2 linked regions of the Daphnia pulex genome follow. The protein of the gene in region 1 interacts with the protein of each later gene in a pairwise test. Links are inferred from orthologs where the notes say so. Each region holds a gene or a part of one and is shown on either strand. Other genes may lie near its edges. The genes, in order: protocadherin-like wing polarity protein stan and frizzled-1-like.

Region 1 (3,820 bases):
AGAATTATGACTATAATTTTTGGTAGAAAAAAAAAAGATCAACTTACAAATAATAGTTGCCATACTGGTCGGCTCGGACGCCGACCGACAGGCCAAGGATGATTGCCGGAAGTCCATAGCCCACTGAATAGTAGAAGCTCATGTGGCCATGATTGACGTCACGCAGTTCGGTCAGCATTCGGTACAAGTGAATCGATTCGATCATCAGCCAGGAGAAGATGCATAACCACAGGTAATGCAGACCCATGGCCAGCAATTTACAGACAAACTGTTCAGTCGAGGATGGAAAGAAAAGAAAAATAAAAGGGGAAAATCGTTAGAGCGTTGCTTTGTAGTGGTGGGTTTTTGGCCAGGAAAAAAACAATTTTTGTTGTGTAAATTATGTTTCGGTCAGAGTGGCCATCACTCACCTCGTGATGTTGGACGGTCCCCCGCAGTTTCAAAGCCAACAAAAACAGCAACTGAGCCAAGAGGAGGCAAACGACGAAGTTGCGGTGAATAGAGTTGGAGTTGGTCTGCTGTTGGCCGCTGATCAAACTGAGACAGATGAACGCCACGGCCAAGAAAACCACGCTGGCCACCAGACCGATGTAAGTGACCACATCTTCGATCAGCGTCGGCTCTCTGGCCATTGTTATGAATTCCTCTTTGTTCATGACGACGGCCACCGGTCCCAAACTGGAACAGGTGCAATTGACGTGAAAGTCTTCCTGGTCGTAGAACCACGGGTCGTGGAAATCGGTTCGGCAACCCTCTCGACTCCAGGCGCCTTTGATGGCCACAGCGGGCCCCGGTATTAATCCGCCTCCCGATCCTGTCGGCTTCCAGTGAACGCACTGCGGATTGGCCCGCTGGTTGACGTAATCGACGCGGATGCGATACTTGATTGCCGGCCCGTCGGGCTGATCGGTGACGATGTTTCCGTCCACTGAAAGAGCGGCGAAGCCCATCGTGGTGGACGGAAGAGTCAGGTCCACTCCGTAGCGCTGCCTCAAATTGGGCTCGAACACTTGTGGCAAGATCTCGCCAGCTGTCCGATAAATCGCGTAGCTCACAACGGATCGTTGAGTTTCACTGCTGGCGCGGTCTGTGGTCTTCTTGGCCGACGGAAGCCGGAAGCCCAGCAAGTTGAGTGGCGTGAAGAACTTTGAGGTGCGATCGAAGAGCACCGGATTTTTGACGTAGTTGTTGTATTTCGGGAAAATGGCGTTGATCGAAGCGGGTCTCTCTTTGTTGACAATTCCGGCGGATGCTTCTTCAATGTAACGGCTAGTGTCCGGAATCACAATCTTCTCCAAACCGCCCGATTTCAGTTCTTGACCGATAATTTGTTCCGTGCTCAGAACGTCCATTCCGAAAACTGCCGGCAATTTTAAAAGTAGAAAATTTGAATAAATTACTTCCCTTATTTTATTTTTTGGGGTAATAATCTTCTTACCCATATTAGGAGTGACGACTTCAAAGGGCAAAGTATAGGTGCTGTTCTGTTGACGAGCCAAATTAGCCGCATAATTTTGGAAGGCCATTAGTAAAACTTCGGCTCCGTAGCCGTGAACTTTTTCGATTGTTCTCCAGTGTCCGACATACTGCATCTGGAACAGTACGCTAGTGGCACTGACCAAATTCTGTTGAAATTCCAAACCCCATCATGTTAAAAAATTTGTTTTTTAAACTTATCGATGCAACAATTTTGAATTATTACCCTGATGAAATCTTTGTCGTGTCGATGAGTCAGATTGAATCCCTCTCTGTGGGTATCGTGTTCCAAGATCTTGACCAGCAGCTGTTGTCCAATAAAGATATCGCTACCGTAAAGTTTGGAACTGTGATTCGTGGCTTTGAACAGCTGCTGGGCCAGCCTCACCGAAATGAACGGGTTGAGGTTCAAATTGCCCTGATCCAATCGTTTCAACTGTAGATGATGATGTAATCATGACGGATGATGATCTATTATTATCTAATGTACGGGATTGTTTTGCGCACTCGCGCAATTATTCAGACACACGTACCATTTCGCGGAGATCGACGAATGGGATGGTGGTGCAGTTGAACAGGTCGGCCGGCATCCATCCGACTTCCTTGTCGCAAGTTTTGTACGCCTGTCCCAGCGATCCGATTGGGCAGTCCCTGGAAGTGGTCAGTCCGTAGAGGGTGCGGTCGAACCAGATGCCCGAGTCGAAACTCCTTGGGCAAGCGTCGTAGATCACTAACGTCGTTAAAAAACAGAGAACAACAAAATGGCGGTATCTTAGCGCGGGGTTTTTATATAGACACACACACGGACGATGAGTTGAGAGGATAGGGTGTAGTTATTGTTGTTGTTATTGCTCCGGCCGTCATTTGTCGGTGCAAAACGCACAGCTGTTTGTGAGCTAAAGAAGAAGACGAAAGAAAAGGCTGCATACAGATGAGCCTGTTTTATTCTTTACCTTCGCATCCGTTGAGCGTGACTTCGGCGAAAAGGTTGGGGCAAGAGTCGCATCGTCGGCCAATGACTCCCGGTCGGCACTTGCATTGACCTACAGGGGGTAGTATAGAGAATGGACGGGAAGAAAAAAAGAAATGTAATAACCGGTTGGGAAAATATGATTGTGTTTGTCTGCTGTGCGGGCAATCATTTTTCCACATTCTCGTTTTCTTTTTTTCAACGGGTATATCTTTAATTTTTCCTTTTCATTCTTTTATTTTTTGGAAGAGTCGGATGCTGGACAGGTGGGTGGAGTTTAAAAAGAAAAAAGACTTCTCTTATTTGTTCCCTCTTACCGGTAAGGGCGTCACACTTGGAGCCAAACGAGCCCGTCAGGTAGCAATTACAGTCGAGACATTCCTCCTCGTTGACCGGCTGGTAGTGATTTTCCTATAATATTCGTATATTATACACCCCGTGAAAATGTCGACAGCATTAGAAATGCAACTCTCGTCTCGTTTCCTATTCTTAGATTTATATATTTATCCTTTTGTCTCGTGCGTTTGTGCTGCGCGTTCAACCGAATAACATGCGGGATGAGCGCCGCGTGTAATTGCACGGACAAAAGGGAAAAGAAAACTTTTCGACTTTTAAAATGGATGGATGCGGTCGTTTTCTTTCTTACCTGACACACGCACTGGCCGTTTGTTTTGTTGCAGTTGGGATCGTAGCCTTTGTCCGTGTCGCAGCGACACGGACCGCAAACCGGATAACCCCACCAGGTTGCCGGGCACGGCTGGTCCAGGGTCACTTCGCAGTAATCGCCCGACGTGTCGCCCTGGCAACCGCACTTGTAGCCGCGGCGATTCGACGTGTCGATCTGGCAGGTGGCGTTGTTCTCGCACGGATTGTACTCGCAAATGTTGGCGCAATCCGGGCCGACGAATCCGGAATCGCAGGAGCACTTGTGCGAATTCCAGGTGTCGGCGCAGGTGCCCCTCTGAGGGCAGACGTCGCTCTTGGCCGTGCAAGAATCGGACGAGCTGCAGCCGTCGCTGACTCGATATTCCACCGACGATTTCAGCCACAAATTGCGTTGCTGATCGATTCTCACATCCTGGACAGAAATCATTTATACATTCAGTTGTTGAGAGAGACATTATGGGAGGGTTCTTTTTTTTATTTTTTACGAGTTATCTACCTTGATGCAGCCGATGAATCCGGTGGAGTTGGTCGTTTCCAATCGGCCCAGAACGACTTTGGTCGGCATCAAACCGGTCAATTTGGAATCGACGGGCACGGTTTTCTCGTAGAGGCCGTAGTCGGTGTTGAGCCAGAGTTCACCTTGCATCCACTTGAGCTCGGCCCAGTGCCATTTGCCATCGTTGAGCGGCTCCGTGTCGGCCAATGTGA
Region 2 (3,920 bases), on another chromosome or scaffold:
CGACTTATCCAAGTTGATCTCAGACCTGAAAGTCCTCCACTAGAACAGCAATACGACTCTTTGGAGGCCCTTACACCACCACCACCCAAGAAAATGTAAGTACAAGTTGAAAAGAAATTCAAATAGTGACACAATTCATTTATTTGCCTTTTTCCTTTTAGGAGAATTTCCTTTTTTACGGGTAAAACAGCAGCTAGTGAGATTGTTCGGCGGAAATCTGCTCCAATAGAAGGCAATGGTGATGTGACAAACGATCAAAGCCTTCCAGTTGCCGAACGCAAACAACAGGAAGAGTCGAGCCGTAACTCTTTGGGAGGTCCTAATGACCAACTTGACGCCTCAATGAGCGGTTCCGTGCCAACGAAAAAATCGGTGCATTCAGGCTATTCAATGATGAACTTCCCTGCCAATTCCAATCTGACAACGCCAATGTGTTGGTCCAAACATGCCGCACTCCTCGGCGATGTTGTTGGGATCGATACATCTAATCAAGTGACTCGCTGGTCTTGCGATCAAGTTATGGATTTCTTGGCCAAATTCGGTGTCAATAAAGTCATGTTGGAGAAATTCAAACAAGAGGTCTGTTCAACTGCTAAATTTTTTGGTTTATACGGTATTTATTTTAATTGTTTTGATTACAGGAAATTGATGGAGAGGCGCTCCTGTTTTTGTCTCAAAGCGATCTTACCGATTTGCTTGGTGTCAAGTTGGGACCGGCCATTAAGATTCGCAACGCTCTTCTTTTGATGAAAGAAAAGGCCAAATCTGCAATGCCCGCCAACGAGTCGCATTCTTAGACTAATAATAAAATTTAAATTTAATTATATGGTTGTCTCATCCTGTTTGTTTGTTCTATGCGATGTACCATGAACGAATCGAGATAACCTCTAGCTCGAATGATTCTCAATCCCGACTGCACACAATTTACTTTTTTTGTGTATTAAAATTCAGTTTTCCAGTTCTTTCTATCTCTCTCCTTTTTTTTACATTTTTCGTGTCAAGTCCAATAAAAACACTGATATGTGTCTTTGTTTTTGCAAGAAGCCACTCGTTTTTTCCCCCCACATACTTGATCCAAAAGCGCGTCTCATTGATTTTGTTTTCAGACAGACGTCAACCAGATGGTAGTGATTGCATATTTTTTAAAATAGTTTGCATCATTAAGACTGAACGAAAAGTTAAACGAAACGGAAAAAATTGTCACCAACTGTTCAAAAAAGGGAGTAAAAAAAAGACATTGATGACCCCTCGATATAGCCTCTGGCGATAACAAACCTGATGACTTTAACAGAAGAGGACAGGACAAAAGAACCAAACACGACACCAGCAGTAGGGAAAAAAAGGGGGTGGTGCTCTGGCGGAGAAAAGAGCAACTTCTTTAAGAAGCTAGCTCTTTTTGTGGCTGGTGCTTTGGTGTGGCTTTTCAGTGTTCAAGGTGGAGTGCTGAGACATTTGACGTTGGTTTGCGTTTAGTGGCATGTTTGATGTTTTACAGGGAAATAGATTGAGAAAAACGAGCAAACTCTGCATTTTAGCAGAAAGTATACACAGTATTGGTTGTTTCAATGGCAAAATGAAGAAAGTGTAGTGGTATTTATTGTTGAGAAGAGCTCTTAAGAAGAGGTCAGTCATCTTGGTTGGCCCCTTCGAATAAAAAAAGTGCGTCTGTTGCTCGAGGGGTTGAAAAGTCGTCTCTCCCTACAAGGAACCTATACTGCTGGGCAGGCTAAACCAGCATTTGACTAAATCAAGATACCGATTGTTCCGTCCGAAAATCTCAATCAGAAAATGTCTCTTTACAAAAGTGTTATTTTCGCCTCCATCCTGGCTTTGTTGCTAACTGTTGTAACTGTTAGCTCCACCATTTCTGATCGAGACAGTTTGCCTCACCATGGCAGGTGTGAAGCCATCACAATTCCCTTGTGTAAAGATATTCTTTATAATGAGACTATCTTCCCAAACCTGCTTAACCACCAAAAACAAGAAGATGCTGGACTGGAAGTCCACCAGTTTTATCCACTGGTGAAGGTCAAATGCAGCCCAGACTTGCAGATCTTCCTTTGCTCTGTCTACGCTCCTGTGTGCACGGTTCTGGACAAGCCCATCCCTCCTTGTCGTTCCCTCTGCTTGTCAGCTCGCAGTGGCTGTGAGGGACTCATGAACAAGTTTGGTTTTCAGTGGCCGGAAAGCTTAGAATGCAGCAGATATCCTGAAGGTGGTGCAGCTGGAGAACTATGTGTTGGAGAAAACAATACAAGCTCAGGGACTAGCCACGGTGGAAATGATGGCTACAGGCCTCCTTACAAAGTTTCAGGTAAGCTACTTTTATTTCTAAATTTTCAATTAAAAAAATTATTGGAACAAACAACTTTTTGTGGTATAGGTGGACTAGGTGGAGTACCCAACTATCCCAGAAATCCTCTAAATGAATTAGGCAATTACCCTGGTGTCTATCCTGGAGGACCAGGCGGATCTGTTGTTGGTGGTAGTCCTCCAGGCTATGGCGCAGGCTCCAATTGGTACGGGGGACCAAGTGGCATCCGATCAGGATTCACCTCAGTCAATAGCAACTACTCTCGCGATCATGGATTTATTTGCCCTGCTCAGTTCCGGGTGCCAAAAGGTCTTGACTATGTCGTTCGGGTCGGAGGGAAAGTCTATCCGGATTGCGGTGCCCCCTGTAAGGGCATGTTCTTCAACGAAAGCGAAGTTCGTTTTTCACGTGTTTGGATCGTGGTCTGGGGTGCCATCTGCATGGCATCTTGTCTCTTCACTGTAATTATTCCAGCTATTTTATCAATGTTTTACATGCAGGTGGTAATTAATGCTCTTTTTTTTTGAAAAATTCAGGTTCTGACTTTCTTGTTGGACGTACGCCGATTCCGCTACCCTGAGCGGCCCGTCGTCTTCCTTTCAGTGTGCTATTTTATGGTGGCACTGGCCTACGTCATAGGATACGCCATGGGGGATTCTGTATCGTGTAATGCGCCATTTGATCCGCCACAAGATTTTTCAGTCGATAAAGCCGACATGGTTGAAACCATCACCCAGGTGCAGTATATAAAAATCTTAAAAATAGCCACACATTCAGTTTTCATCATCTCAACTTTTCCATAGGGAACGAAACGCGAATCTTGCACAATCCTCTTCATGTTGCTCTACTATTTTGAAATGGCTGCCAATCTCTGGTGGGTCGTCTTGACGCTTACTTGGTTCCTCGCAGCCGGTCTCAAGTGGGGTCACGAACCTATCGAAGCCAAGTCTCATTATTTCCATCTGGTGACGTGGGCCCTCCCTGCTGCTCTGACCATCGCCATTTTAGCCATGGGCAAAGTCGAAGGTGTGTGTGTTGCTTACAAATAGACTCGTTTGTATTTTTCTTTCTAAATCCGTTTTGCTGTTCTACTGGTATCGTACCCTTAGGCGACGTGTTGAGCGGTGTGTGTTCGGTTGGCATTTGGGATATGTCTGCCTTAAGACTCTTCGTACTGGCGCCTCTATTCCTTTTCCTCATCGTCGGCACCATTTTCTTATTGGGCGGATTCATCTCTCTATTTCGGGTACGTGTGTCTTGTTGAATTCTTTTCCATAACAAAGTTGTTATTTTCTTTATGTGAATTTTTTATAGGTGAGAACGTTGATGAAGAGCGGAGGAACCAAAACGGATAAGCTAGAAAAGTTCATGCTGCGCATTGGAATCTATTCCTTTTTATACACAGTACCGGCCATCATTGTTATCGCATGCCTTCTTCACGAACAGGTCAGTCGTGAGTTTCCCTTTCGGCGAAATTCTTCTCACGTCAACCACCTATAAATATTCTAACATGTATTTTTATCTATATAAAGGCTTTCTTCGATTCCTGGATGTTGAGATGGCAAGAGGACAAATGCCGTGACCCACAGTGGATCAAATTTGTTTT

The links.
Region 2: the proteins of protocadherin-like wing polarity protein stan (region 1) and frizzled-1-like interact in binary tests that used the Drosophila melanogaster proteins (3 or more experiments, as listed by UniProt). The link is inferred for Daphnia pulex from reciprocal best matches to the Drosophila melanogaster genes stan and fz.

What each region holds. Positions count from the first base shown.
Region 1 is NC_060028.1:10,555,952-10,559,771, reverse strand, and holds part of protocadherin-like wing polarity protein stan, read right to left. Parts: coding exon 3,609-3,820; intron 3,525-3,608; coding exon 3,093-3,524; intron 2,858-3,092; coding exon 2,764-2,857; intron 2,520-2,763; coding exon 2,430-2,519; intron 2,207-2,429; coding exon 2,010-2,206; intron 1,913-2,009; coding exon 1,703-1,912; intron 1,626-1,702; coding exon 1,439-1,625; intron 1,361-1,438; coding exon 411-1,360; intron 269-410; coding exon 48-268; intron 1-47. UniProt on the Drosophila melanogaster protein: Involved in the fz signaling pathway that controls wing tissue polarity. Also mediates homophilic cell adhesion. May play a role in initiating prehair morphogenesis. May play a critical role in tissue polarity and in formation of normal dendrite fields.
Region 2 is NC_060020.1:4,095,894-4,099,813, forward strand, and holds the start of frizzled-1-like, read left to right. Parts: upstream 1-1,379; 5' UTR 1,380-1,788; coding exon 1,789-2,314; intron 2,315-2,383; coding exon 2,384-2,775; intron 2,776-2,850; coding exon 2,851-3,051; intron 3,052-3,117; coding exon 3,118-3,340; intron 3,341-3,423; coding exon 3,424-3,560; intron 3,561-3,628; coding exon 3,629-3,760; intron 3,761-3,846; coding exon 3,847-3,920. Other genes in the region: lethal(3)malignant brain tumor-like protein 1, read left to right, coding at 1-95, 162-579, 642-797. UniProt on the Drosophila melanogaster protein: Receptor for Wnt proteins.